Sus scrofa: one gene and its partners. The protein of the gene in region 5 interacts with the protein of the main gene of each other region in a pairwise test. Links are inferred from orthologs where the notes say so. Each region holds a gene or a part of one and is shown on either strand. Other genes may lie near its edges. The genes, in order: PEG10, NRIP1, PSMA1, AP1M1, LDOC1, TNNT1 and ZGPAT.

Region 1 (3,500 bases), on a different chromosome or scaffold from region 5:
CTTTTATCCTCATTTACAGAAACAAAAAGCTTCTGAAAACCAAAAGGCGAAAGGGCGGAAGAGGAGGCCAGGAGCCAGGCCTCCATCCCCACAGGAGTGAAGCTACACCTGGGAGGTCTCCTCCCACCCCATCTCTCACCCTGGGGCCCGACTGCCCACCACCTCCTCCTCCTCCTCCCCCCAACGACCCATCCTCCTCCAACTCCTCCTCCCCTTGCGGAGGCCAGAGGGGCCAGTACAACCCCAATCTGGCAGAGCGAAGGCGGGACGATCTCTCCGAAGAGATCAACAACCTCAGAGAGAAGGTCATGAAGCAGTCCGAGGAGAACAACAACCTGCAGAACCAGGTGCAGAAACTCACAGAGGAGAACACCTCCCTCCGTGAGCAAGTGGAGCCCGCCCCTGAGGAAGAGGAAGACGACATTGAGCTGTGCGGTGCTGCAGCTGCTGCTGCCCCAGCCACGCCCATCGAGGAAGAGTGCTCAGAAGACCTTCCTGAGAAATTTGACGGCAACCCAGACGCGCTGGTTCCTTTCATGGCCCAGTGCCAGCTCTTCATGGAAAAGAGCACCCGAGATTTCTCCGTCGATCGCGTCCGCGTCTGCTTCGTGACAAGCATGATGACCGGCCGTGCTGCCCGCTGGGCCTCCGCCAAGCTAGAGCGATCCCACTACCTGATGCACAACTACCCAGCCTTCATGACCGAAATGAAGCACGTCTTTGAAGACCCTCAGCGCCGCGAGGCTGCCAAACGCAAAATCAGACGTCTGCGCCAAGGCATGGGGTCAGTCATCGACTATTCCAACGCGTTCCAGATGATTGCACAGGATCTGGATTGGAACGAGCCTGCACTGATTGATCAGTACCACGAGGGCCTCAGTGACCACATTCAGGCAGAGCTGTCCCGCCTTGAAGTCGCCAAGTCGCTGTCCGCCCTGATCGGCCAGTGCATCCACATCGAGAGACGGCTGGCCAGGGCTGCCGCCGCGCGCAAGCCACGCTCCCCACCACGTGCGCTGGTGATGCCTCATGTCAGCAACCACCACCAGGTGGATCCCACCGAGCCCGTGGGAGGTGCCCGCATGCGCCTGACCCAAGAAGAAAAAGAAAGACGCAGAAAGCTGAACCTGTGCCTCTACTGTGGGAATGGAGGTCACTACGCCGACAACTGTCCTGCCAAGGCCTCGAAGGCTTCGCCGGCGGGAAACTCCCCGGCCCCGCTGTAGAGGGACCTTCAGCGACCGGGCCGGAATTAATAAGGTCCCCACAAGATGATGCTGCTTCATCTCCACACTTGCAAGTGATGCTCCAGATTCATCTTCCTGGCAGACACACCCTGTTCGTCCGAGCCATGATCGATTCTGGTGCTTCCGGCAACTTCATTGATCACGAATACGTCGCTCAGAATGGCATTCCTCTGAGGGTCAAGGACTGGCCAATACTTGTAGAAGCGATTGATGGACGTCCCATAGCATCGGGCCCCGTTGTCCACGAAACACACGACCTGATAGTCGACTTGGGAGATCACCGTGAGGTGCTGTCATTCGATGTGACTCAGTCTCCATTTTTCCCCATCGTCCTAGGGGTGCGCTGGCTGAGCACACACGATCCCAACATCACGTGGAGCACCCGATCGATCGTCTTCGACTCTGAATATTGCCGATACCACTGCCGGATGTATTCTCCAATACCACCACCGCTCCCACCACCAGCACAACCGTCATTCTATTACCCGGTGGAAGGGTACAGAGTTTACCAGCCAGTGAGGTATTACTACGTCCAGAATGTGTACACTCCAGTAGACGAAAACGTCTACCCAGACCACCGTCTGGTTGACCCCAACATAGAAATGATCCCTGGAGCACACAGTATTCCCAGCGGACACGTGTACTCACTGTCAGAACCTGAAATGGCAGCTCTGCGAGATTTCGTGGCCAGAAATGTGAAAGATGGGCTGATTACTCCAACCATCGCACCCAATGGAGCCCAAGTTCTCCAGGTGAAAAGGGGGTGGAAACTGCAAGTTTCTTACGACTGCCGAGCTCCCAACAATTTCACCATTCAGAACCAGTACCCTCGTCTCTCCATTCCAAATTTAGATGATCAAGCTCACCTGGCGACATACACCGAATACGTACCTCAAATACCAGGATATCCAACCTACCCCGCGTATGCCACGTACCCGACCTACCCAGTAGGATTCGCCTGGTACCCCGTGGGGCGAGACGGACATGGACGATCGCTCTATGTCCCTGTGATGATCACCTGGAACCCGCATTGGTACCGCCAGCCGCCGGTGCCCCAGTATCCGCCGCCGCAGCCGCCGCCGCCACCGCCGCCGCCGCCGCCACCACCGTCTTACAGCGCCATGTAAATACTTGTCATGTCCTTCCGGATCTCTGCCCTCAAAATGAACTCCTGTTCAGCTTCTCAATCAGTGACTGTGTGCTAAATTGGGCTACTGCATCTTTAAGCCAACCTGAGGCACAGGTTTTTTCTGAAATGGCTTAGAAAGGTCAGGGCCACCGTGGACTGGCACACATTCTAAAGCACCAACAGCCTCTGCTGTTTAATGGGAGCGACAAAATATGTACCAACAAATTACCTATGCTTTCCACCTTAACTGCCAATCTAATTAAAATTCGTAATAAGTTTACTTCCCAGCAAACCCTGGAAGCCTGGGTTTACCTGCTGAAACCTCTGTCACCAACTCAATTATGGGCTGCCAGATTCCTCATTTAACAGTTACTGAGAAGCTGATGCAAATACAGGAAATACTGTTTTCTTTATGGAGGGGGAGATGAGGAGGAGGAGGAGGACATGACCCTTCTTGCAGTTTCGGTACTCTCTTTACATCATTGGAGAACCGAGGCCTTATTAAGGAAGCCAAAATTATTGGTGCAGTGTGAATGGCTTCCGTGATCTTTTTGCTGCACCCTTTTGAAACTTCACCATCTTCAGACTCCACTCTCATGACTCAAGGAGCGGCAATTTGACTGGTTCCCCTAGGAGCAGGCAAAACCCCTGCTGCAGAAACACCTCAGGCCTCAGAAGGAAATGCTGTGAGATGGATGTTTGCATGTTGAGTGTGCCTTCACATCCTGGTGCAAATCGCATGTACCCAATAACTCTGACTTTGTCACAACACCTTACCATCATCATGCCAGCAGTGGCTTCCACAAAATGTTAAACCTGGTAACCAGAGACTATTGGTGACTCCAGGTATGTTAGATGTTTGTGAAATGTGATCACCTCTCAACCAAGTGTGAGGGCTAATATCAAAAGGACTCCTAAATCCCGTACCCAACTCTTAAAAAAGAGACTCCAAGTTAATGTTACCAACTTGACCTGGAACTTCAGAATGGATTTTCATGAACGTTGTTAATGGCTGGAAGAGCATTACCTGAAGTCTCGGGAGCATCTATCCATGTCTCTGCCTCCATATACATCTGGGCATTTCATCATCAATCCCCTCACAAAACTGTAGCACTAGGATGCTT
Region 2 (4,294 bases), on a different chromosome or scaffold from region 5:
TAGTCACTAGTTCATGGTGTAGAAAGTGGGCTCAATACTTCTCAATGTCCATTTTTGTTTTCTTCACACTTTGCTACTTAAAGAGTCTTTTCCTTTTCTGAGAACCGCTTTCCACTTTGCCTACTTGGCAAATTCTTCTTACCTATGAATGGCCAGCTGAAGCACTCTGTTCTCTGTAAAACTTTCCCTGAATTGCCTTACCCCACACCTGAACCCCAAGTAGAATTAAAGACTCTGTCCTGTGGCTATGACAGTATCTTGTCCAATATCTACCGGATGGCTACCGCTGGCACACACAGTGTGCCAGGGATAAGTGATGGAGGTACCCAAATGTGAACGAGAGGGATATGGCCCCTGGGGCTGTAGTACTTGAACTTAGAATGGTTAAACATCCTGTCACCAACTGGTGTGAACAATGCTCTAGCAGGACAGACTCAGGGAGCACATCATAAGCACGCCTCTCCCAGATGCCTTCTTTGTGGGGGATGAACATATTGAGCCCGAACTGTAAGTCTCTGAGCCCACAGGAACCCCAGGGTTTGTAAACCTACTTGTGTGTTTAAGTATATAAGCTCAAGGGTGTCTTTTTCACATCACGATTGGTTATATGAGAGTTGTCTTCACTACACAAATTACTGAATAGGCATTCTTATATTACATATATGCCCCAGTATCCTTGCAATGACTCTCTTAGCCAGGAAACTTAGGTATTGATTTTTTCAAAAAAAAAAAAAAAAAACAAAGAACAACAAAATAGCCCCAACACAATTAGAATGATTAAGTAAAAATGAATTCTGCAAAAGGTGTGCAATTTACTTAACACTAATGCACTACCAAAAAGAGTTCAGGATTTCAATGATTGGAGTTCTGTGAGGTTGAGAAGAGAGCTTAATAATGAGGTGAGCAGCTTTGTTAAGTCACCTAACATATTGCAGCAGACTTTTTTAACACTAGTGTTGGAGGGCAAGACCAAAACTTGATATAACCTGACTTAGGAAGTTGTTTATCTACCAACTGCAATCATCTAAAACTCTTGCTAAGAAGCAAAAAGAATATTTTCAGAGCAACAGTTGAGCGGTCCAAATGTGTCACAGAATCTATGCACTAAGGTTCATGTGCTTTACTCCTTGGTGAGCACATTAGTTCCTTCCAGGGAACCCACTCAGTTTTACTTTAGACTGTATTGTGACAAGTGAGGCTATCTGGATTCTCAGACCTCACCAGACTAGCAGCTGCCAATCAGAAGAGGAGGAGAATGTTGGAGGCAGGCATGCTGGCAAAAGAGAGAAAAGACACCAGATTGTCAGTTAGAGAAGGGGGAGAGAAACTACAACGGGCAGAGATAATCACTCAGTCCCAGTATCCCAGAGTCTTTCAGGGCAGAGACTGATGGCTTATATACCTCCTGGGAGCAGCCTTAACACCTTGGAAGAAGCCTGATAAAGAACAGGAACTGGACGTAGTTGCTAAATCCACTATAACCTACTATATAATAAACACTTTAAATAAAATTAACCCAGAATTTCGACAAAAAGCCAAACTGTTTTAGAAAACAGAAATATTTATAATACATAGAAAACATTTGTACAAGAGTTAAAACAAGTTTGACTTTTTTTATTTTTAAACAAGTTTGACTCCTTAAAGAGCCAAGCTCCAATTATGCTGATCATCACTTAATTGGAAGACTTGGCTTTGCATCAATCCTGGGTTAATGTTATGCTATAGAACAGCAGACTTTACCAAGTTGTCTTGAACAGATTTCAAACAGTGGTATATGCAAATAACAAACTATCATAAGAGGTCTAAACTGTATAAGAGGGCGACAGACTGCACAGTTGAATCAACCACCAGAGTGATGTAAAAGAATTGTTCTAAAATGCAGTATCACCATGGAGCAAAATAAACCTACCATGTACCCAGCACTGTGCTACGGGCTGGATTTAAGAATTAATTTGAAAAATTGCTTTCACTTTTCAGATTGTGAAGGTATTCCAGAACTCTCATTCATATTTGTAAAGGTTAAATGACATTTTAAATGCACAGCACAGCCATTACATAACAGGCATAGAATACTGTTTATGACTTGGATAGTTCTTTTTTTTAAGTGCACCAGCAACTCTATTTTCAAATGCTATGGAATTCACAAGGTTTCCTACATAGAAGAATGGAATGCCTCATCCACTCACTTGTTTTGTGTAATAAGTGTTTTAAAACAGGCATGCCATTTCGGAGTTTAAAGGGAGGCTAAGCTGCACTTTAGCGTTTCGGAGCAAGCAAAAACAATTTCAGCAACGGTACTCATTTCCCCCGGTAATTTTGTTTTTCATGGCGAGTTACTAAATGCTAGATGCTAGTAGTCAAAAAGAAACCTGACATCTGGGGAGGTGTTGAGGGGGTGTTAATAGTTCTAGTTAGATGTCTGGGGAGCGCTGAGGATAAGATTTTAAAACAGCAAATACAGGGAGAAAGGGGAAATTACGGTTTCGTATGACTCTCTCCTCCCTCCACTTTCTCTCTTCACCAATCCTTATCCCCCTCAATTTAGAGGCGGGTTCAGCGAGATCTGGCTGCAGGAAACCAAGAGGCTCCACCGCGCTGCCGCCCCAGCCTCGTGATGTAATTGTTATTTCTTATTCGGAGCTTGAACCAGGGAGAGCTGCTGAAGAAGTGGCAGCCCTGTGCCTTTTGCCTTGTCTGGTCGGGTCAGATTCTTCCCGGGGATGATGTAGATTCGCTGACGGACTCCGCTGGAGACTTCGCAGTGACAAAGCAGCTGAAGAAAAACCCTGCTCCTGGGTCCTCCGTCCGTCTGGGGAGCCGAACGGAGCACTCCTCAGGTCTCCTTCCCAGTTTTCCTCTGGGAGTCACTCCGCATTTAATCCCTGGGTGCCTCCTACGTGCTGGGCGTGGGGTCCAAGTGACCTGCAGTTAGTGCCCCTGTCCCCCAAGATTAAAGCAAGACACACAGATTACAAGGTGGTGGAAGTTGGGGGTGGCGAGAAGGGGCCAAGGGGACGCGTGTCCTGGGGTGAAATGGAAGGAGGGGGCTCCTGAGGCGTCAGCACCCAGGAGGGGACCCCGGGCGTTCGGGTCCCCGGGCTGTGCCCCCCAAGGCGAGCATTTGCCCTGTGGAATGAGCTCGATGCCCCGGGCCCCTGGGACGAGCTGTCCCGGCGCCTTCGGCGGTGGGGGCGGCTGGACAGAGCCGGGAGCCGCGGGGGACTGCGCGAGCGCGTGGAGCAGCTACCTCTCCCCGCCACCGCGATCCTCCCGCAGCCGCGGGTCCCCGCAGCCCCCGCCCGACAGTCCGAAGGGCGGGCTAGGAGGAAAACAGCCAACCGAGGGGGGCTCCTCGGCTCCCGCGTGCTGCCGGGACCCGGGCTCCTGCCTCCCGCCCCGGCCACAATGGGAAAGAGGGGGAGAAAAGGGTTAAGAAACTTGGCTGAAGAGCTGAATGGCGTGGAGCGGCGAGGGGAGGGACTGGGCCGCGGCGGACTCGGCGGCGGAGGGAGGAGCGCGGCTGCGGGCGGGCGGCGAGCGAGGCGCTCAAAGTCAGCCTCGCAGACATTGCAGCAGAGCCCCGAACTCGGGAGGCGGCGGCGGCCGTGGCGGCGGAGGAGGAGGAGGAGGAGGAGAAGGCGGCCGAGGCGGAGGGACGATCCGGCCCCACGCCCGCGCGCCAGCCAGTGGCCTCGCGTCTGCTGCTGCGCTCAGCAGCGCTGCTGGTCGGAGGAAAGAGCTCGCCGGGGCGCCGGGGGAGGACCGGGCGGCGGGGCGCCTAGGCGGAGTGAGCTTGCCGGAGCCCGGGGCTTGGAGCCGCGGCGGCCTCGGGTGAGTGGCGGCCGCGGCCGGGGGGCTCAGAGGAGCGGCCGCTGGCGCCGCCGGAAACGACCCGGGAGCGCGGCCCGCGGCGGCGGCGGCGGCGTTGGCAGGCAGGGCCGCGGGGGCGTCGGGGCGTCGGGCCGGGGCTGCCTGCTGCGGGAACGGACGCGGACAGCACGGTGGGCTCGGCGGCCGGGCGATGTGTGGGGGTGGTTTCCGGGGAAATCCTGCCTCTCCTGCGGTGTTCGAATCTCCCCGGGAACTCGGGGGGCCCGGGCAGCGGGGCCGCAAGTTGGGGAGTTGGCTCCGGGCTCACTGGCGGGTCCGTGCGGGTCCTGGGCCGTGGGGCGGCCGCCTGGTGGCCCCGGAGCCGGGCCGGATACTGGGGGTCCGGGCCAGGGTCGTGCCCTGCTCGGCTGCTCTCTCGGCCCGGAGCCCTTCTCGCCTTGCAGCTCTGGGTCTCGCCGCCCCG
Region 3 (3,500 bases), on a different chromosome or scaffold from region 5:
GTCTATTTAGAGGGCACAATCAGAACTTGCAGCTCATCAGAAAAAAATCCTCCATGTTGATAACCATATCGGTATCTCAATTGCGGGACTTACTGCCGATGCTAGACTGTTATGGTGAGTATGATCATGAAAAACAAAGGAAACATCTCTTGATTCATAATTGATTATATTCTAGAAAAGATCCAGATGTTTTACAGGTATTCTATTCTGCCAGAATGTTTAGAAGATTGTGTATACCTTAGTGAAGTTGGGCTCAGTTACTCAGTATCCCATTTCTTGATCCTCTGTGTAGTAACTAATAGAATTAGCCATACTAATATTAATGCCTTTGAGAAGTCATTCAATGATGTGATACTTGTTAACTCAGTGTATAGTGTTTGATATTATGTCTGAGAAGAGCTTGACACTTTTGTTGGGTTTGCGAGGATCAGATGAACCACCTTTGCTTTCTCTAATACACCAGTATTTATTTGATGTTTATTTTTTGCAAAGCTCAGTACTGGATGCTGCAGGGTGTAAAAAGTGAATGAGATATAGATCTCATCTTCTAGGAAATTAGAATCAGTTCTATGTCTAATACACAGAAGAAAGTGGAGAGTAACAGGTATACTTCTGTATGGGACCAGATAGAGATTATTTCTATTTGAGAGGCATTATGTAAATGAAGAACTGACATTTTGGAATCACACAGACTTTAGTTTCCACTTTTATTTATTTGTTTATTGTTTTTATTGACTTTTTAGGGCCGAATCCATGGCATATGGAGGTTCCCAGGCTAGGGGTTGAATCAAGCTGAAACCGCCAGCCTGCAACACAGCCATGGTAATGCCAGATTTGAGCTGCATCTGCGACCTACGCCACAGCTCATGGCAACACTGGATCCTTAACCCACTGAGCAAGGCCAGGGATTGAACTTGAGTCGCCATGGATGCTAGTCAAATTCATTTCTTCTGAGCCATGACGGGAACTCCTTTGTTTTTTATTTTATTTTTATTTTTTTGCTTTTTAGGGTGGCATTTGAGGTATATGGAAGTTTCCAGGCTAGGGGTCACATCAGAGCTGCAGCTGCTGGCCTACACCACAGCCACAGCCACAACAATGCCAGATCTGAGATCTGTCTGTGACCTACCCCACAACTCATGGCAATGCCAGATCCTTAACACACTGAGCAAGGCCAAGGATTGAACCAGCATCCTCATTGATGCTAGTCAGGTTCCTTACTGCTGAGCCACAATGGAAACTCCTAGTTCCCACTTTTAGCACTTAGTATCTGATATTGGTCTAATTATTTAAACTCCTAATTTTCTTAGTATTTTATTGATAAATAGCCTAACATGTGGAGCACTTGACAAAGGGTCCTTTTTTTTTTTTTTTTTTGGTTCTTAAAATCTTCCCTTATTGTAACTTTGTAAACATTTATTGGATTGAATGAGGCCTAAATGATAATCATTTCATACCTGTAAATAGCACCTGCACAGTTGACAGTCCCAGTATATCAGTCCCCTGCGGTGATCACAGAGCTACCGTGAGGGGGCATGGCCCATGATAGGACCCTAAGGCATGCGACTCAGTGTGTTGCCTGGGGATGTGGAGTAGATTGGTGGTTGGACTCAACGCTGCCAGAACCCAGACTCTTCCCTCACTGCTCTCAATGGCCTGTGAGATGTCTTTGCAGAGGAACTTGGAGCAAATCGGAATCCGAGGTTGAGGCTGTGGCATGAGTGAGTGGCTGCCGCGCTCTGCCCCTTGCCCCTCCATCACCCAGGGCTGGGAACACAGTAATTGTGTTCAGCCAGTATTGAAAACCATCAGGTGTGCTGCTGGTTTGCCACTTGTGGTTCTGGAGACTTTGTTTCCCTTTCTCCTCCACCTTAGAAATAGGGAATGTAAATAGAGGCCCCTGGGAGGAGGCCTGGATTACAGTTGTTCTAGAGTCCTGTTGCTATTGATTTTGGTCATTGACGCCTGGTTGTTTTGATGAGGCTTTCCCAAACTTCCCAAGGCTCACACTTGGTACCACCCAAGTGCTCTTGTTAGCATGTTCGATTTTGTTAATTGCTACTGCTTTGCGCTTAGTGGGCAGTCACATCTACTGGCCTGCACCACCAGCTTCCTGGGCAGGAGTGAAAAGACCCCCTGCTCCTCCTATTTGCCCTGGCTCTGTCATTACCTCACAGGGTCTCAGCCACTCTGAGCTCTGTGTCACTGCTAGAACCAGCCACTCTAGTCCTGGCAATAGCCAGAGCCAAGAGTTCTTTATTTTCCTCTTGGCCCACAGTGTCTTTCAGGTGTTGTGTGGGAGGTAGTAGGGGGAAAGTAATCACTTAAGTCTGTGATTTTAATTAGGAAAGAAAGAATATAAACACTAAGGGTAAATAATAATGCTAATGTTTAAAATTTTCAAGTTGTCTGGCAAGCTCCTTGTTCTCTTAGGTCAGCAACATAGTGATAGCATTACTGGTTTCTTTTAGCTGTTTTAAAATATGTCGCATTGTCAGACATTTTATTTAACCCAATCTCTCCAAAGTATTGTTGTGTCATATGTAATCAACATAAAAACTTTGTTAATGAAATAGTTTACATTGTTTTTTTATTAAGTCTTTGAAATTTCATGTTTATTTTATAGTTATATCTCAAGTCAGACTAGCCACTTTTTCAGTGCTCACTAGTCACATGTAATTAGTACCTGCCATATTATAGGGCAGTGCAGTTTTAGACAGTCTTGGGAAGTGAACTTAAAGTAGTGAACAAGTAGTTTGGTTTCTGCAGCCAGCATTTGATCATCAGATGTGACATCCATGTAAGCTAAACAAAGCAAGATGAAAGAAAAATGCATAGCTGTTTCTTTTTTCTTTTTTTTTTTTTTTTTTCTCTTTTAGGGCCACAGCTGTGGCATGTGGAAGGGCCCAGGCTAGGAGCTGATTCCGAGCTGCAGCTGCTGGCCTACACCAGAGCCACAACAACCCAGGATCCGAGCCACATCTGCCACCTATACCACAGCTTGTGGCAACGCCAGATCCTTAACCCACTGAGCGAGGCCAGGGATCAAACCCACATCCTCATGGATACTAGTCAGGTTCTTAACCCTCTGAGCCACAGTGGGAACTCTGCGTACCTATTTCTTATTTATCCTCTTGGCTTTAATTGTAAAACATGAATCTCCTTTTCCTCAGTGTTATACTTGCTTGAATCTTGTCAAGTTTAACAGCGAGACTCAACAGTCTGGTGTCTGATATCTCCTCTAAAGTATTCCTTTTGGATAGAAGTAATGTTGGCAGGCTAATGTTAAGAGATACCTTGGAATGGATTCTATTTCTTGTATTGGCTGTATTGGGGAATTTTTTGTCAGCTTTCAGGAAAAAAAGTATTGTTTTTGCTAGTTCAAGACAGTCTTTTGAATGAACAGTCTTGTTGACAGTGGCAAGGGTAAAAGAAGAGAGATTGTTCTTTTTCTCTTGCTTATCCTTCTCTATTCTATAAAGTGCTGTGAGACAAAGCTT
Region 4 (3,500 bases), on a different chromosome or scaffold from region 5:
CACGTGAGTGCTTCCACCCCTGCTCCTCCCTGAGGGCAGCCTCTCCTGTCTGCTTGGCTGGGTGGGAACTATCCCCATCCAGGGTGAGTCTCACTGCGAGGTGATGCCCAGGATGAACACAGCTCCCCACAGGCAGCCTGGACTCCTAGGAGCCTGATTGACAAGGCAAGGTTCCGACGTTCTGAGGGGTCAGGCCCCTTTGCTCTGCTCTGTTTCCAGGCAGCCCCAGCAGAACATCTCTGGTGATGTTTTCTGCATTTTCACCAAGGCTTGGCAGCTGCTGGATGCCTTATTCTCTATGCTCTGACCCATCCTGGCACCAGCTCTGGATTCCTCCAAGCACCCCGGGCAGCAGTGCCCCAGGCTCACACCTGGCCAAGTGGTCCCTTGCCCTGGGGCTCAGTTTCCCCTCTGTGAAGCGGGGCTTTGTAAAATCACCAGGTCTGAGTACCGTCTTCACTCTCCCCAACAGGTCAAGCCCTTGATCTGGATTGAGTCTGTGATTGAAAAGCATTCCCACAGCCGCATTGAATACATGATCAAGGTATGTGTGTGTCCTGCATGCAGCATCAGCTGGGAGTGCAGGGTTGTTGAGGGGGGTATGGGCGGCCCCTCCTGGTACAGGCCTTTGGCCTTTGGCACAGGCCCTAACCCAGGACTGGGGGCATACCGGGGCTCTGTGACCCCTGCCCCCAGGTGTCAGGCCTGTGGCTGTCATCTGTGCTGCCCCTCTCTGACCTCACACAGAGAGCAGGTCTGGGGCAGGGAGGGGTCACACCACCCAGATCCTAGGTGCGGCCACCATGGCAGTGGCCTGTGACCAAGCATCTAGGTGTGCCATCTTGCCACTCAGTGATCTCATCAAGCCCAGGCAAGCCATGGTGACACAGACATTGTCCCAGGAGGCCAGGGCTGGGCCAGAGGAAGGGATGAGGAGTCCCAAAGGCCAAGGGGACAGGAAGGCAGAGACCGAACTTCTGAAGTTGAGCTTAAGGAAGATCTCAAGGGGTGGCGTGAGGGTCAGCTCCGTGTCAGAGTTGGGCATCCCACAGGTCAGGCCAAGGGACATGTGGCCCTCGAGGGAGTAGGCAGTCGGGGGAGCTGGACTGTCTCACCTTCACCCTCCACCCTCATCTCCAGGCAAAGAGCCAATTCAAGCGACGGTCAACAGCCAACAACGTGGAAATCCACATACCCGTGCCCAACGATGCCGACTCACCCAAGTTCAAGACAACAGTGGGAAGCGTCAAGTGGGTCCCCGAGAACAGTGAGATCGTGTGGTCCATCAAGTCCTTCCCGGTGAGCACCTTTCTCAGTGGGGCGCCCCCTCCAGCCTTCCACCCACACTCACCTGCTCCCTGTGCCCAGCACAGCATGGCAACCTGACTGTTGGGGAGCCTTGCAGCTCTAACGGCACAGGGCAGGATCCCCACCTGGGGCTTTAGGAAGGTTCAGGAGGGAGAGTGGATGGAGTGCTGAAAGGAGAGCAGGCAGAGGCAGGGGGTGGCGCTGGCTCCAGGCCACCCCACCTTCCTCTTGTTTGTGAACCGGCCTATCCTCAGCATCAGGGCAGTGCCCAGCCCTCCCTCCTCCTTTCCCTCTGGCACTGCTGTTCAGTGCTCAGCTCCCCTCCAGGGGAACAGACTGCTCTGGGGCCAGACCACATGGTTTAGGAAATCCAGCACCAGCTCCAGACACAGAGAGCACCTCCTGCCTGGGCCAGCTCCACATGCTGGCATGGCCCATTGGCTTGTATTCAATCTGAGCACTTGAGCCTGGGTTTGTGGGAAGAGTGCCTGGGGAGACAGGAAGGAGAGAATGGAAGACAAGTGTGAGGCCATCACACCAGGCCATCACTGTTACGGTGATAAACATGCTGGAACACCATTTTTATGTTTCAGAGCGCTGTTTGCGTTTCTCTGGAAACTGTAGTAGCTGTCTCTGGCTCACTTTTTTGTCCCGTTTGGTCGTTTTCTTCTTGGTTTCCAAAAGCTCTTTATACATGGGCAAGATTAGTACCTTTTCTTTGACATGACTTGGAAATAGTTTTCCTCAGTTTGCTGATGGCTTTTTTTTTTTTTCCTCCCCATGGCCACACCCACGGTATATGGAAGTTCTTGGGCCAGAGATTGAATCCAAGCTGCAACTGTGACCTACCCCACAGCTGTAGCAATGCTAGAACCTTAACCCAGCAACCTGAGCCACTGCAGGTACAACACTGGGTTCTTAATCTGCTGTGCCATAGCAGGAACTCCCTCAGTGTCTTTAAAGGTACTTTAATTTAACTGTAACATGCAGAATAGTAACATATGATATGTGATCAAGAATTTTCTCCAAGAGAATACATCTGTGTATCTGGTGCCAGATAAAAGCCACCAAACACTCTTTATCCCCAGGACACCCCAAGGATCTCTTCTGCTTTTGCACATTTCTCATTAAGATGATTTTTAAATCAATGTTTTAGTAAATGGAGCCTCCTTTTCCATTATATCTTCCAGTATAGGTTGCCAGCATTCATATGGTAATTTTATATCCTGGTATCCTACTAAATTTCTTATTTGCTGTAGCTTTTCTTTCAACTTTCATAATTATTCTTTCATATCGTTCACAGCCAGGTGCAGTTTCCCCTTTTCCTCTTCTATTCTTGGGCATCTTGTGGCTTCTGGCATCTCACTGCTGGGGTTGCCATCTCCAGCACCTGTAAGTGGCTGTGGAGAGAGCAGCCTCCTGGCTTTGCCTCAAATGGAGCTGCCAGGTTTCCCTTCCAAGTATATTGATGCTGCAACTCACTCCAATCCTACTTTACTGTGTTTGTAGCACAAATGGGCAATGAATTTAGCCAAATGCCTCTTCATTGTCTATTCATTCAGATATATTAATGGGATAGATCTTGAACTATCCATGCATTCTGGCGAGCTTCATGGTATATTTTCTTTCTTTTTTTTTATTACTCAAATGAATTTAGCACATCTGTAGTTGTATAATGATCATAACAATCTGATTTCACAGGATTTCCATCCCACAGCCCAAGCACATCCCCCCACCCCCCAAACTGTCTCCTCCAGAGACCATAAGTTTTTCAATGTCTGTGAGTCAGTATCTGTTCTGCAAAGAAGTTCCATCTGTCCTTTTTTCAGATTCCACATGTCAGTGAAAGCATTTGATGTTGGTGTCTCATTGTATGGCTGACTTCACTTAGCATGATAGTTTCTAGGTCCATCCATGTTGCAAAATAAGCTGGTATTTCATTCTTTTTAATGGCTGAGTAATATTCCATTGTGCATATGTACCACATCTTCTGGATCCACTCCTCTGTCGATGGACATTTAGGTTGTTTCCATGTTTGGGCTATTGTAAATAGTGCTGCAATGAACATTGGAGTACATGTGTCTTTGCGAGTAGTGGTTTTTTCTGGGTAGATGCCCAGGAGTGGGATTGCTGGATCAAATGGTAGTTCTGTGTTTAGTTTTCTGAGGAATCTCCATACTGCTTTCCACAGT
Region 5 (4,087 bases):
GAGAAATGAAGCAAGGCAAACGTTAGAGGTTACTGGCAGAGAGTGGGGTGCTCTGATAGATGAGGTAGTTAGGAAAGTCCGCTTTGAAAATGGAGGAAGAGTCAGGCAGTAAAACCAGGAGAACATTCTGAGGCAAAAAAGAAAGTACAAAGATCCTGAGGCCAGAGCCACTCAGTGTGTGTGAGCCTCAGCAAGAAGGACAGTGTGATGACAGCAGAGCAGGAACTGGGACAAGGCAAAGGGAGTGAGGCAGGGCTTGATAGGCCATTACCGAGACTTTGGTTTTTATTTTGAGCGAAGGGGGAAAAACTATTGGAGGGTTTTGAGCAGGAAAGTAAAGAGATCTAATGTTTGTCCTAAAGGATTCCTATATCTACTCTGGAGTATGTATATAATACACACACACACACACACAACTTGAGGAAGAGAAGAGTGGAAGCTAAGTGATGAGCTGCAACAGTCTGTGTGAGAAAGGAGGGCTGGCCTTAGGGTGGTAGTGCTGTTTAGAGATCCCCAGGTAATTAAACTGCTGATATATTTAAAAAGCAAAGCTAAAAAAATATATTGGCCCCAAGGTCCTCACCCTGACTTATTTGTCAACTATTTGAATAATCACATTCAAAGTAGAAAACAAAACTATTTTAAAAACACATGTGTTCATTGTTAAGCAAAGAACAATAACCAGTAGTAGGACATGAAATAGAGTCAAAGATAGGCAGGACTCATGCAAATGGTGATTGGATACTAACTTTTGCAGAACTTTTTACACTTTGCTATTTAAAAGTAATTTTAAACAAAAGGATAGAGGTACACAATATTATTTTACAACTAAAGAAAAACCTCTTTTTAAGTATTACTTTGTCATGAAAGACAGGACTCCTGAACGTCTTTCATAACTCTTAAAGGATGTGACTCCTGCGGTGCAGCCAGAATTGCTAATAGTTCTCTGAGTGAGGGAGATTTAAACACGCAAAGAAATGTGTTAAAACCACATAAATGGAATCTGGTGGCCACAGACCCACCGAGGAACATTGAGTCGTTTGGGTTGAAGGGTGGTTAATCCTTTAAACTTGAGCAGGTTAACCCTCTCTGGGAGATGGATCTTAGCGTTTGCTCGGCCTTGGCTAAGGCCTGGCCCGCATCTAGGGCTGGATCTCCCCCCACTGCCTTTATCCACGGGCCGGGAGAACTGCGAGCCAGCAGCCCGAGACCCTGCCCGCCTCCTTGCCTGGCCACGCCCTCCCTCTGTCCGCTCCACTCTGGCCACGCCCCTCCTTTCTCCAGTGCCCGCCTCCCTCCAAGCGGGCGGCGCCGGCGTGCCGGCCGTCAGAGCCGCTGTGTGGGTGGAGCTTGCGCAGCTGCCGGGACCCCTGCGCGCACCGCCTCTCGCCCCTGGCCGCCGCGCGCCTCCGCGGACACGCACTTCCTGCAAGGCCTCCTTGCTCACCTTAGCCGATCCGAACCGAGCTGAGCCCATTCTTGCTCTTACAAGCTGTTCGCCATGGTGGACGAGCTGGTACTGCTGCTGCACGCGCTCCTGATGCGGCACCGCGCCTTGAGCATCGAGAACAGCCAGCTCATGGAACAGCTGCGGCTGCTGGTGTGCGAGAGGGCCACCCTACTGCGCCAGGTACGTCCGCCGAGCTGCCCGGTGCCCTTCCCCGAAACGTTTAACGGTGAGAGCTCCCGCCTCCCTGAGTTTATCGTGCAGACGGCGTCTTACATGCTCGTCAACGAGAACCGGTTCTGCAACGACGCCATGAAGGTGGCATTCCTAATCAGCCTGCTCACCGGGGAAGCCGAAGAGTGGGTGGTGCCCTACATTGAGATGGATAGCCCCATCCTAGGTGATTACCGGGCCTTCCTCGATGAGATGAAGCAGTGTTTTGGCTGGGATGACGACGAAGAAGACGACGAAGAAGATGAAGAAGCTGATTACTAGGCCGGGAGACCCTCGGGCCTAGGGGGGTGGGCCCTGCACGCCGCCACCACCCCCCGCCCCGCTTCGCTCCTCCCGGAGCCGCGACACTTCCCTCGCTCCCTATCTGCTTCCCTAGTCTTCCTAGTCTTCGCTCTGGTTCTCTTCCTTATTCACCGCTCCCCCCCCCCCCCCCCCCCCCCCGTAGTGTTTGTCTTTGTTCTGGGAATAGTGCTACAGTTACCTGCTGCTGGGGCTGGGGCCTCTCTGAAGTGCGCTGCCTCCCACTCAGGCCAGTCCCAGGGCCCAACCCTGCTAATTTGAACTGTGTTCTGAGCCCCAACTATAGGGCAGACTGTTACAAACTGGTCAGACTACCCACAGCCCTGCCGATTGTCAGGCCTACATCTGCCCAAAGACCGACGCTGCCACCTAACCAACCTCCATCACATTCCAGCGACAGACAGACCAGGCCTTTGGAGACAAGGACCAACCTAGAAGATGCTTTTAGTTGGCTATACCACCTGGGACATTGATTTGGACTGCTCACGCCCACCCCACCCCCCCACGAGGGGCGAATCTTTGCACCTGGTTCGTTCCCTCCTTTCCTAACTCATAGAGTCTTCTCCTGCCTCACCAGGTTGCTGCAGGGGCCCGTTGTGCCTGGCAGCCAAATTATTGACATTTCTCTTATGCACCAGTTTTGCACAACTGTCATTTTTCTTTTAAAACTGAAGCAGTCCCACAGCTGTGTGCATTTGGACAAAAATACTAAAAACAAAAACCAGACAGACAAAAGCAGGTACTCAGCCCAGCTCCTCAATACTACATAGAAAAAGCATTTGCATTCTTTTCAATAAATATCAAGCACTACGGAAAAAAAAGAGCGTCTTTTAATGGTTAAGTGCTATCATTGGCCTTTGCCACTCTCACCCTGACTCCCATTATTCCTACTGATATCAGAGAGCCTAGTTCAATCCCATTATTCTCTACTGTCATGTCTGGGCAATAGAGGACTGCTACTACAGAGCTTTATAGGGAAACTGGTGCTCCCCTCACCAAGGCACTTTTTAAAGCCCTGGTGAAGTGAGTGTCCTCTGGGGCTTCCAGGATGGGATGAATAAGGGGTAGTTGAGTAGATGGCACACCATCCCAAACTGGGACACTCGAGAGAAAAAGGGGGCACTATTACTAATCGGAATGGGACAATAGGCGTACATCAGGGCACATACCATATTCCTGTCTTCCTGAGCTTTTGGGTTCTTTCTCAGCCCTGCCAGGCAAGTGCTGCCTCTTAACTCTTATTCCTTGCAGGGTGCTGTTTGAGTTCAGGCTTCCATAAACAAGGTAGCACATTGTTTCAATACCGATTTTAGATGCTTGAGCTAATGTTAAATCCTGAGTCCTGGGTAAATGCACCCATAAGTGGAGCCAGATTTTAATGTTTCATCCTCCTTGGGCAGATAACCCTTAAGATCCCCACCCATCTGTGTGCCCCAGATTCCTGCCTGTAGAAATCGACAAGATGCCTGGCTATCTCCCATACTAGATCTTGTAATGCTGTCTGAGCTGTGCTGAGATCTTTTTGTGGGCCTGGAGGGCTGGAGGCCCTAAGGGAGTGGGGTGAGTGCTGAGAATAATCTCTACTTTTGTGAGCCCATAACCCCAGGTTAAGTCTTTGAAATGTTAAATCAGGGAAGCCTGATTAGGGGATTTGTGGGGCCTATCGCTGCCAGCCAGGAACTGTCAGGAGGATTTGAGGGGTTCAGAATTCTGATTCTTACATGTATCTGCCCAGATGTCTTCTGTACCATGCCGGGAACCAGCCCTACTTTAGAACCTCTAATTTAGATAATAAAATTCCTTCTTGTTTAAGACCTTTTGATGCTGAGTGTTTTATTTGTACCAATAAACCTTACATTGTGGGTTCAATGAGATACAGGGAACAGGTCTCTTGCTGTTGAGCTGGGCTTCAGTAGGAAGGTGTTAGGAGTGAACAGGAGCAGAATAAGCTCAGCAGAGAGAATGGAAATGAGAGCATGACAAGAGTTCATTTTTACTCTTTGGGATCTGACATGAAGTCAGATAGAAAACCAGTTTACTTGGTGAACAGACAAAGTCTAGAGCAAGAGTCATCTTTTGGACCTAAGAAAGTTGTTTCTGTAGGGT
Region 6 (4,139 bases), on a different chromosome or scaffold from region 5:
GCTGTCTCCTTGTCCCCTGGTGAGAGTTTTACCCTCTGATTCATTTGTAGGAAATGCTAGTGATTAATATCATTCATCTGTGACTTGGATTCTCCTCAATTACTGAGGATTCACCAACACTGGTCTCCAGCTCAGACTCTCTCCCAATCTCCAGACTCCAGGTAACGGATGGCTCCATGCCCCAGCTGAGCTCCCCAACCTGGAAATCTCTCCGTCTGTGGCCCCCTTTCCACCCCCTGCCCCCTGCCCAGGCTTAGGCCTTCTTCCCTGAAAACTCACCAAATTCTACAGTTCTCTGGCCATGCCACATGGCTTCACGCCCCCGGGCCTTTGCACATGCTGTGTGCTCAGCTTGCAATGGCCTTCGCCTGACATTCTCCGCACCTGAGGCCTTCCTGCCTCCAACGAGCTTTCCTGATGCTGCAGCCCAGCTGTGTCCTCACTCCCATCTGACTCTGCCTCCTCATCCCTCAAGCCGTGGTGAAACTCCACTGTCCACTGCATCTCATGCTCAGATTGCAACACCAATCTCTGGCCCCAAGGTCCCCACCTCCAGGTCTCCTCTCCCTCTCCCAAGGAGCTCTCACAGCCTGGCCTCCACCTGTCTGCAGAGCTTGGATCCTCAAAGACTGGCCGAGATCTGGCCGCTGGACCTTGCACCTTCTGCATTGCTTCCTCGACTACAATCTCTCCCACCTCCTTCAATTAGCAAACTCCCAGGACTCAGGGCAGCACCTCCCCCAGGAAGCCCTCCATGACTGCCACCGGGCATAGCTAGGGCCTCTTCTGTGCTACCATCTTTGTATCTGGGTCTGCTTCACCAGCAGGGCAGCCACACTCTGACTCATCAAATACCATGGGAAGTTCACCAGAAATGTTTGCTGAAGGACAGAATCACTGTCCTTTCGTAGGTGTCCCTCCCCCTCTCCTCTGTCTTTTTTTTTTTTTTTTTTTTTTTCTTTTTTGTCTTTTGCCTTTTCTAGGGCTGCTCCTGCGGCCTATGGAGGTTCCCAGGCTAGGGGTCCAATCGGAGCTGTAGCCACCGGCCTACACCACAGCCACAGCAACGCGGGGTCCGAGCCGTGTCTGCGACCTACACCACAGCTCACGGCAATGCCGGATCCTTAACCCACGGAGCAAGGCCAGGGATGGAACCTGCCACCTCATGGTTCCTAGTCGGATTCATTAACCACTGCGCCACGACGGGAACTCCTCCTCCCGTCTTTTTTTGCACCCTGTCTCTGAAGGCAGGGGCTAGATCTAAGAGACCCCACCCCCAGCCCTAGGATCTCACCTTGGCTTGGGGCGCTCCTCTTCTGTTGGGGGGGGGGATACAAAGACACAATTAGCAAGAGTTTGTGGGCGTGGGAGGACGCGACACACCCAAAGGTGGGCCCTCCTCGCCCCCCCAAGACTTGGTCCCCAGGCCCAGTTCCCTTGTCCTGCAGCCCTGGGGGAGGGGTATGGCGGGGGTAAAAGAGGAGAAGGGAAATCGGGGTGGCCGTAAAGGGAGGGAGGGGTCACACGCATCAGATATACATTCAGAACCGGTGTGGGGATTCCCCCCCTCCACTCGCTTCGCTGGGAAACCAGGCTTCCAAACCCCCCACCCTCCTTCTGCAGACCCAGAGCTCCTGCCCTCCTCCCCAAGCCCTCTGTTCACTCGGGGACCCTGGAGTTGTGTCCCCAGCCACCTCCCCCTTGGGGACACAGGAATCCAGACCCCCACTGCTACCCCCTTCTGCAACCCAGGCCCCAACCTTTGAATGTATATGGGGGAGAAAAATAACAGGCGAAGATGAGAGGGGAGGAGGGGTGCCTCTCCGCAAACATCCAACCCTTCTATAAGTATTCCTCCAGTCTGGGGAAGAAGGCTTGGGTGTCGGTCCCTTTAAGAAGGAAGGGAACGGGTTAAAGCCGCTGCGAGGCTATTTCCCTTCGTGGCCACCAGAGGGCGCGCGGGCTCTCCGGGGCTTAAAGGACCGGGTCCGGGGCGGGTTATGGGGGCGGGGAGGGAGTTCTCGTGGAGGTCAGGGCCCAGAGGACACCCCGCAATTGGTCTCAGGAAGCGAAGCAGCCGCGGTTACCTCGCTCTGCCACCGGCTCTGGCTCCTCGGGGGCTGGGGAGGGGGCAGGAGGAGAAGCGAGGGTTTGGGGAGCCAGGGGAGGGGAGCGGCCAGGCCCGGATGCAGGGGGGGAGAGAGGGGAGAGAGGGGAGAGGCTGTTAAAGGAACTGAGGCCGAGAACCCCGAAAGCCCCGCGCCCCGCCCGGCCTGCACCCCTGGACCAGCGGGCCCCCCACCCACCCGCCTGTCCCCCACCCCCCCAGACCTGCGTCCAGCTCCAGACCTGCGGAGTCCGGGGCCTCACCTTCCTCCTCCTCAGCAGCCTCCTCTTCTGGAAGGGGTCGGGGAGAGAGAAGAGGGGTTAGGGGCCCAGGGGGACCCGGGGTGGAAGGGCTTTCAGAGAGGGGACCCAGTGGGTGAGGGGGCAGAGACCCAGGTTCGGGCTCGAGTCTCAGCTGGGCGGGGCGGGGGGGGGGACCCGTCAGCCTCAGCGGCCGCCGGGCACGATGGGCTTTTCCCTCCCAGGAGGATGGGCGTCGGGCCGGTCGGGCGGGGTGGGCCGAAGTGCACTCACCTTCAGGCTGCTCCCTGAGGACCCGGGCGGGGAGAAAAGAGGGAGGGGGAGAGTTAGGCGCCTCGGAGGCGGAGGGGGTCTCCCCCGCTCCGAGCCCCCAGCCCTCCCGCCAGCATCACTCACTCCTCATATTCCTGCTCTTCGGCGTCAGACATCCTGGCGTGACCTAGAGAGGCAGAGAACGGGGGTCCAAACGAGGGACTCGGGATCCCCGACCTGGGGTCCCGACGCCCGGGTCTGAGGGACGAGGGGCTGGGGGCTGGATCCTGGGTCTGACGGGGGGGGGGGGGGCTGGGGCTGGACCCCTGGGTCTGGAGGAGGAGGGGCTGGGGCAGGACTCCAGGGTCTGAGGGAGGAGGGGCTGGGACCTGGACCCCTGGGTCCAAGGGAGGAGGAGCTGGGGGCTGGATCCTGGGTCTGAGGCCGGGGGCCTGGGGCTGGACCCCCGGGTCTGAGGGAGGAGGAGCTGGGGGCTGGACCCCTGGGTCTGAGGGAGAAGGGGCTGGGGCAGGACCCCTGGGTCTGAGGGAGAAGGGGCTGGGGCAGGACCCCTGGGTCTGAGGGAGAAGGGGCTGGGACAGGACCCCTGGGTCTGGGGGAGGAGGAGCTGGGGGCCCTCAACTCCCAAAGATTCCTAAACCGCGGATGAAGACAGGGCTTGGGAAGGTATGGCCCCACCAACCCCAAAGCCACAGGCCCCACCCCCTCACCACAGCTGCCCTCTTTTGTCTTATGACAAGTCCTTTGGAACCTGATCTGAGGAGGGATTAGGGGAAGGTATTTGGGGAAGACACAGTGGCCTGAAGACAATAGCTGCCCCACCCCCAAGGGCTATTTTGGGGGGATGTCGTGGAGGGTGACACAGAGGACATCTAAAAAGTATTCTAGGAGGAGGGGTTCTGGGAGAATTCATCATACCCACTCCCCTCTGCCACCCTTGTCCCCTCCCCTTTGGCTGGTTATCAGTCACCTTCACCCACAGCTGTGGAGGGGACAGGACACACAAGAGCAGCTTCTGTCCCCAGACCTCATCCTGACCCCTAAATACTAAGACTCCCCCAAATCTGAGGTCCCCAAATCTTAATACCCACAGATCCCAATTTAGGAATTCTGAAGATGGCTAAGTCCTCATATCTCCGGATTCTGACACCCCAACTGTTGATACTCCAGATTATGGGCCTGGCCACCCTAAAACCTTGACCCCCTCAGTCTTGAATCCTTAAATTTGGGAACCTTAAGCTTATGAGACCCCAAAACCTGGATGCCCAGACTCAGGGGCCCGATTCCTGATACCCCAAAATATGACTCCACAAATTCTAATACCTCCAATCATAAGATTTCAGATCCTGAGACCTCAATTCCTAAACCTCCAGATTCTGAGGCACTGCCCGCACCCTGGTCCTGACACCCAGACTGTCTGCCAGCCGAGCCCAGAGGTTCCCAATTTCTTTTCTTACTCCTTCTTGAATTATTATTTAATTTTATTGGAATAGAGTTGA
Region 7 (3,500 bases), on a different chromosome or scaffold from region 5:
GCGGTTCCCTGGGAGTTTTAAAATCAGCTTGTCCGTCTCTGGGTAAAAGATGGTTGGAATTGTGGTAGGAACTGCACTGAGTATCTCAGTCAGCTTGAAGGGTGTTGCCGTCCTAACAGTCTTAGGTCGGCTAATTTTGAAGGTGGGGTCTCCTTCCAGTTATGTTAAGTCTTTGATTTCTTTGCAGCGGTGTTGTGTAGTCCACAGCTCTGGTTATATATGCTTCTAAGTATTTTATTCCTTTTGACACCGTCGTGAATGAAATCAGTGTCACTTTTAGACTGTTTGTTGCTAGTGTGTTTAAACACCACTGACTTTTATTTGTTGATCTTGTATCCCTAACGTTGCCGAGTTCATTGATTCATAGGATTTTTTGTGGATTATTTAGGTCTTTCTCTTTTTCTTTCTTTCTTTTTGGATAAAGGAGAAAAAGATAGCTTTATTGCTTTGCCAGGCAAAGGGGGCCCTGGCAGGCTAACCCTTTAAAGCCCGCGTGTCCTGTTTAGGATTTTCTATGTGTGCAACCGTGTCATTGAAAAAATAGGGAGTTTTGCTTCTTCCCTTCCAGGTGGGGTGGTTTTTATTTCCCTTCTTGTTAAATGGCTTCCAGTACTGTATTGAATGAGATCAGCAAGAGCAGCCGTCCTTGTCCTGCTCCTGCGCTTAGGGAAGCACCCAGGTTTTCACCGCTGGGTGTGATGGCAGCTGTGGGTTCCCCACAGACGCTGTTTATCAGGCTGAGGGAGTTCCCTCTACCCGTGGCTTGTGGAGTGTTTTCGTCATGCGAGGGTGTCGGGGTTTTCGGTTATCCTTCTGTGTCCGTGGTGTGAAGGGGTGTTTCTTCGCTGCCTTCCGCTCGGGCGCCGTCTCCTTGGATGGGTCGCCCACGTTGAACCCCCCTGGCGTTCCCGGGCTAAACCACGCTGCGCCCTGGTGTCGAACCCTTCTAAACACTGCTTTTCTGGCTCCAGTTTGTACTTATTCTGGAGTGTGGTGTGGCGAGTATAGTGGGGGGTCGTTGGGGGGTCGGGTTTGGGGAACCCATCTTTAACGCTGTCCTCGTGAACGAAAGCCGTCCGTCGTCCCTCTTCTCCCGACTGGGCGGTGAGACGCCTCGGTCCCGCCTGAGGTGCAGGCGCGAGGGGGCCTCTTCCCGGCTGTGCGCCCACCCCCCACCCCCGCCCCGGGTCATCCGGCCTCCCACGCTCGCCCTTCACCCCATGGCTGGAAATGTGGGTTATTTCCGAGTCTTTCATGTTGGTGAAGGTGCTTGTGGCTAAGTCTGCGGGACTCTCCTCATTGTCATTACGAAGACGATGCTGAGTTACGGCCACACCCACGGCACACGGAAGTTCCTGGCCCAGGGACGGAGCCCAAGCCGCAGCTGCAGCGGAGCCGCTGCAGTCGGATTCGGGAGCTCCTGCACTGCAGTGGCAACGCCTCACTGTTATTTCGTGGGGCCGCTTCTTAGAAGCACTTGCCCGGTTAAGAAAGCTGCCGGATTTTAGGGCTTCTCGTGTTCCTGAGGATTCTTGCAGAGAGGTTTGTTGGGGGGTGTGGGGTGTGCAGGGGCCAAATGCACCCTGGGTTTAGGCCTCTTTCCTCAGATGAACAGGGCTTTTCACCCACAGCGTCCCCTGCAGTACACGTGGGGCCTGGTCTCGCAGCTGCTGGTGCCGCTTGATCTTTGGCAGTGCCCTGGGTGCCTGAGGACAGTCAGGTGCGAGAAGGAACCGAATCCTGCCCGGGAGGCGTCTGAGGCCAGCTTTGTGCCCCCCGGGAGATGACGAAAATGCCTTCTTTTCCTCACCTTTCTCACCCCGGATCCGCGCCCAGCAGCTGGTGCCCCGTCCTGGAGCGGATGCCCTCGAGGCTTAGAAGGGCTTCCTCCCGAGATGGTGGCGGCTCGGAGGAGATGTGCGGGTGGTTCCTTTGTGTCGCGATTGGGCAGAGTGAAAGGTCGCCGCGCTCTGTCCTCACACCTCCTCCTCCTCCCTCTGTTCTGGTGTCCACTTGGTTTCACGGATGCCTAGAAGCCAGGGCAGCCCTGTGCACACACGCGGACACACGCGCCTTGATCGCCCGTTAGTGTCTGGGCTCCGCGTCTGCCAGGAGGCCGTGGGAGCAGGTGGTTCTGATCACAGGGTGGCTGCCAGCCCCCTCGTGGCACTAGCCTGGAGGCTGGGGAATGGCTCCCAACACCTGGCCCCTGGGGTACCCGGGTCTGTCCTGAGAGTGGGAGCCTGGTACCTATGCATGTGTGTGCACACACGCGTGTGCATATGTACCACGGGTGTGTGCGTGTGCACACGGGTGTATGTGCTGTGTGTGCGCGCGTGCACATCTATGCATGATTGTGTATCTGTGTGTATTGTGTGCACATCTGTATGCACGTGCGTAGAGGTGCACTTGTGCATGTGTGTGTGAGAGAGTGTGCACGTGTGTGCTGTACATGTGTATTTTGTGTGGGTGTGTGCACGTATGCCTGTACACATGTTGGTGTTTACATGCGTGTGCACACGTGTGCCTGGGTTTGTGCATGAGTGCATTCATATGTGCCTGTGCTCAGTGTGTGGGCGTGTTCGGGCATGTGCAATCTGTGCACGTGCATGTGGCTGCCCTTGTTCCCCTGGCCATCCCTCTCTTCCGGGCAGCGCCCAGGCATGTCGACTGGCCTCTCATGGGCCCTGGCGGCCCGTTTCTGAGTCCACACTCTGCGGTCCCCTCTGCAGGTTCTCCCACGGGCAGGTGGTCTCTGTGGACGAGCTGCGCCCTTTCCAGGACCCGGACCTGAGCTCCCTGCAGGCCGGCTCTGCGTGTCTGGCCAAGCAGCAGGATGGCCTCTGGTACCCAGCACGGATCACTGGTGAGGCTTTCCAGGGGCCTCCCTGATGGGGCTTTTCCTGGGAAGCCCTTGCACATGTCACAGTGTTAGTCCCGGGTGCCCCCTCCTGTCGTTGGGCATTGGGACCCCACTCCATGCCCAGGAGGAGCAAGGCCACCCTTGGCCTCATCCCCACCCTGTTCCCAGTGTCCAGTGTGGCTCCTACCACGAGTCAAAGCCGCTGACCTGCTGCCTTGGTGCCCCTCCAGATGTGGACAGTGGCTACTACACGGTCAAGTTTGACTCTCTGCTGTTGAAAGAGGCCGTGGTGGAAGGGGACAGCATCCTACCCCCACTGCGCACGGAGCCCACGGGGTCCTCTGACTCAGACAACAGCGACGCGGACGACCCCAGCTATGCGCGAGGTGTGGCTGCGGCTCGGGGCCCCAGAGCAGGGAGGTGGGGTGGGACTGCGTTGGCGGGAGGAAAGCCCCGCAGGCAGGCGTGGGGGGCAGGTCCGAAGCCCCACAGACGGAGAAGCCCAGAAGGCATGGGGTCCCACACGAGCCACGGGGGCAGGGGGCGCATAGGAAGGGACCGGCATGCGTGACGCGCAGAGGGCGCTCCTTCAGGGCCTGGGTGCCTGGAGGGTGGAGGAGGGGCTGTGTGCAACAGC

Evidence for each region.
Region 1: the proteins of LDOC1 (region 5) and PEG10 interact in binary tests that used the Homo sapiens proteins (3 or more experiments, as listed by UniProt). The two-hybrid records come from large-scale screens. The link is inferred for Sus scrofa from reciprocal best matches to the Homo sapiens genes LDOC1 and PEG10.
Region 2: the proteins of LDOC1 (region 5) and NRIP1 interact in binary tests that used the Homo sapiens proteins (3 or more experiments, as listed by UniProt). The two-hybrid records come from large-scale screens. The link is inferred for Sus scrofa from reciprocal best matches to the Homo sapiens genes LDOC1 and NRIP1.
Region 3: the proteins of LDOC1 (region 5) and PSMA1 interact in binary tests that used the Homo sapiens proteins (3 or more experiments, as listed by UniProt). The two-hybrid records come from large-scale screens. The link is inferred for Sus scrofa from reciprocal best matches to the Homo sapiens genes LDOC1 and PSMA1.
Region 4: the proteins of LDOC1 (region 5) and AP1M1 interact in binary tests that used the Homo sapiens proteins (3 or more experiments, as listed by UniProt). The two-hybrid records come from large-scale screens. The link is inferred for Sus scrofa from reciprocal best matches to the Homo sapiens genes LDOC1 and AP1M1.
Region 6: the proteins of LDOC1 (region 5) and TNNT1 interact in binary tests that used the Homo sapiens proteins (3 or more experiments, as listed by UniProt). The two-hybrid records come from large-scale screens. The link is inferred for Sus scrofa from reciprocal best matches to the Homo sapiens genes LDOC1 and TNNT1.
Region 7: the proteins of LDOC1 (region 5) and ZGPAT interact in binary tests that used the Homo sapiens proteins (3 or more experiments, as listed by UniProt). The two-hybrid records come from large-scale screens. The link is inferred for Sus scrofa from reciprocal best matches to the Homo sapiens genes LDOC1 and ZGPAT.

Annotation. Positions count from the first base shown.
Region 1 is NC_010451.4:74,480,621-74,484,120, forward strand, and holds part of PEG10 (retrotransposon-derived protein PEG10), read left to right. Parts: intron 1-19; coding exon 20-1,226; coding exon of another isoform or gene 1,227-2,374; 3' UTR 2,375-3,500.
Region 2 is NC_010455.5:179,913,427-179,917,720, reverse strand, and holds the start of NRIP1 (nuclear receptor-interacting protein 1), read left to right. Parts: upstream 1-1,494; 5' UTR 1,495-2,837; intron 2,838-3,502; exon of another isoform or gene 3,503-3,831; intron 3,832-4,294. UniProt on the Homo sapiens protein: Modulates transcriptional activation by steroid receptors such as NR3C1, NR3C2 and ESR1. Also modulates transcriptional repression by nuclear hormone receptors.
Region 3 is NC_010444.4:44,743,102-44,746,601, forward strand, and holds part of PSMA1 (proteasome subunit alpha type-1), read left to right. Parts: intron 1-10; coding exon 11-114; intron 115-3,500. UniProt on the Homo sapiens protein: Component of the 20S core proteasome complex involved in the proteolytic degradation of most intracellular proteins. This complex plays numerous essential roles within the cell by associating with different regulatory particles.
Region 4 is NC_010444.4:61,362,129-61,365,628, reverse strand, and holds part of AP1M1 (AP-1 complex subunit mu-1), read left to right. Parts: coding exon 1-3; intron 4-472; coding exon 473-544; intron 545-1,140; coding exon 1,141-1,299; intron 1,300-3,500. UniProt on the Homo sapiens protein: Subunit of clathrin-associated adaptor protein complex 1 that plays a role in protein sorting in the trans-Golgi network (TGN) and endosomes.
Region 5 is NC_010461.5:115,579,335-115,583,421, forward strand, and holds LDOC1 (protein LDOC1), read left to right. Parts: upstream 1-1,287; 5' UTR 1,288-1,501; coding exon 1,502-1,942; 3' UTR 1,943-3,795; downstream 3,796-4,087. UniProt on the Homo sapiens protein: May have an important role in the development and/or progression of some cancers.
Region 6 is NC_010448.4:59,360,811-59,364,949, forward strand, and holds the start of TNNT1 (troponin T, slow skeletal muscle), read right to left. Parts: upstream 2,801-4,139; 5' UTR 2,796-2,800; coding exon 2,764-2,795; intron 2,655-2,763; coding exon 2,641-2,654; intron 2,398-2,640; coding exon 2,371-2,397; coding exon of another isoform or gene 2,326-2,370; exon of another isoform or gene 2,121-2,325; coding exon 2,088-2,120; exon of another isoform or gene 1,531-2,087; coding exon of another isoform or gene 1,317-1,530; coding exon 1,295-1,316; intron 1-1,294. UniProt on the Homo sapiens protein: Troponin T is the tropomyosin-binding subunit of troponin, the thin filament regulatory complex which confers calcium-sensitivity to striated muscle actomyosin ATPase activity.
Region 7 is NC_010459.5:62,647,488-62,650,987, forward strand, and holds part of ZGPAT (zinc finger CCCH-type with G patch domain-containing protein), read left to right. Parts: intron 1-2,732; coding exon 2,733-2,866; intron 2,867-3,093; coding exon 3,094-3,249; intron 3,250-3,500. UniProt on the Homo sapiens protein: Transcription repressor that specifically binds the 5'-GGAG[GA]A[GA]A-3' consensus sequence. Represses transcription by recruiting the chromatin multiprotein complex NuRD to target promoters.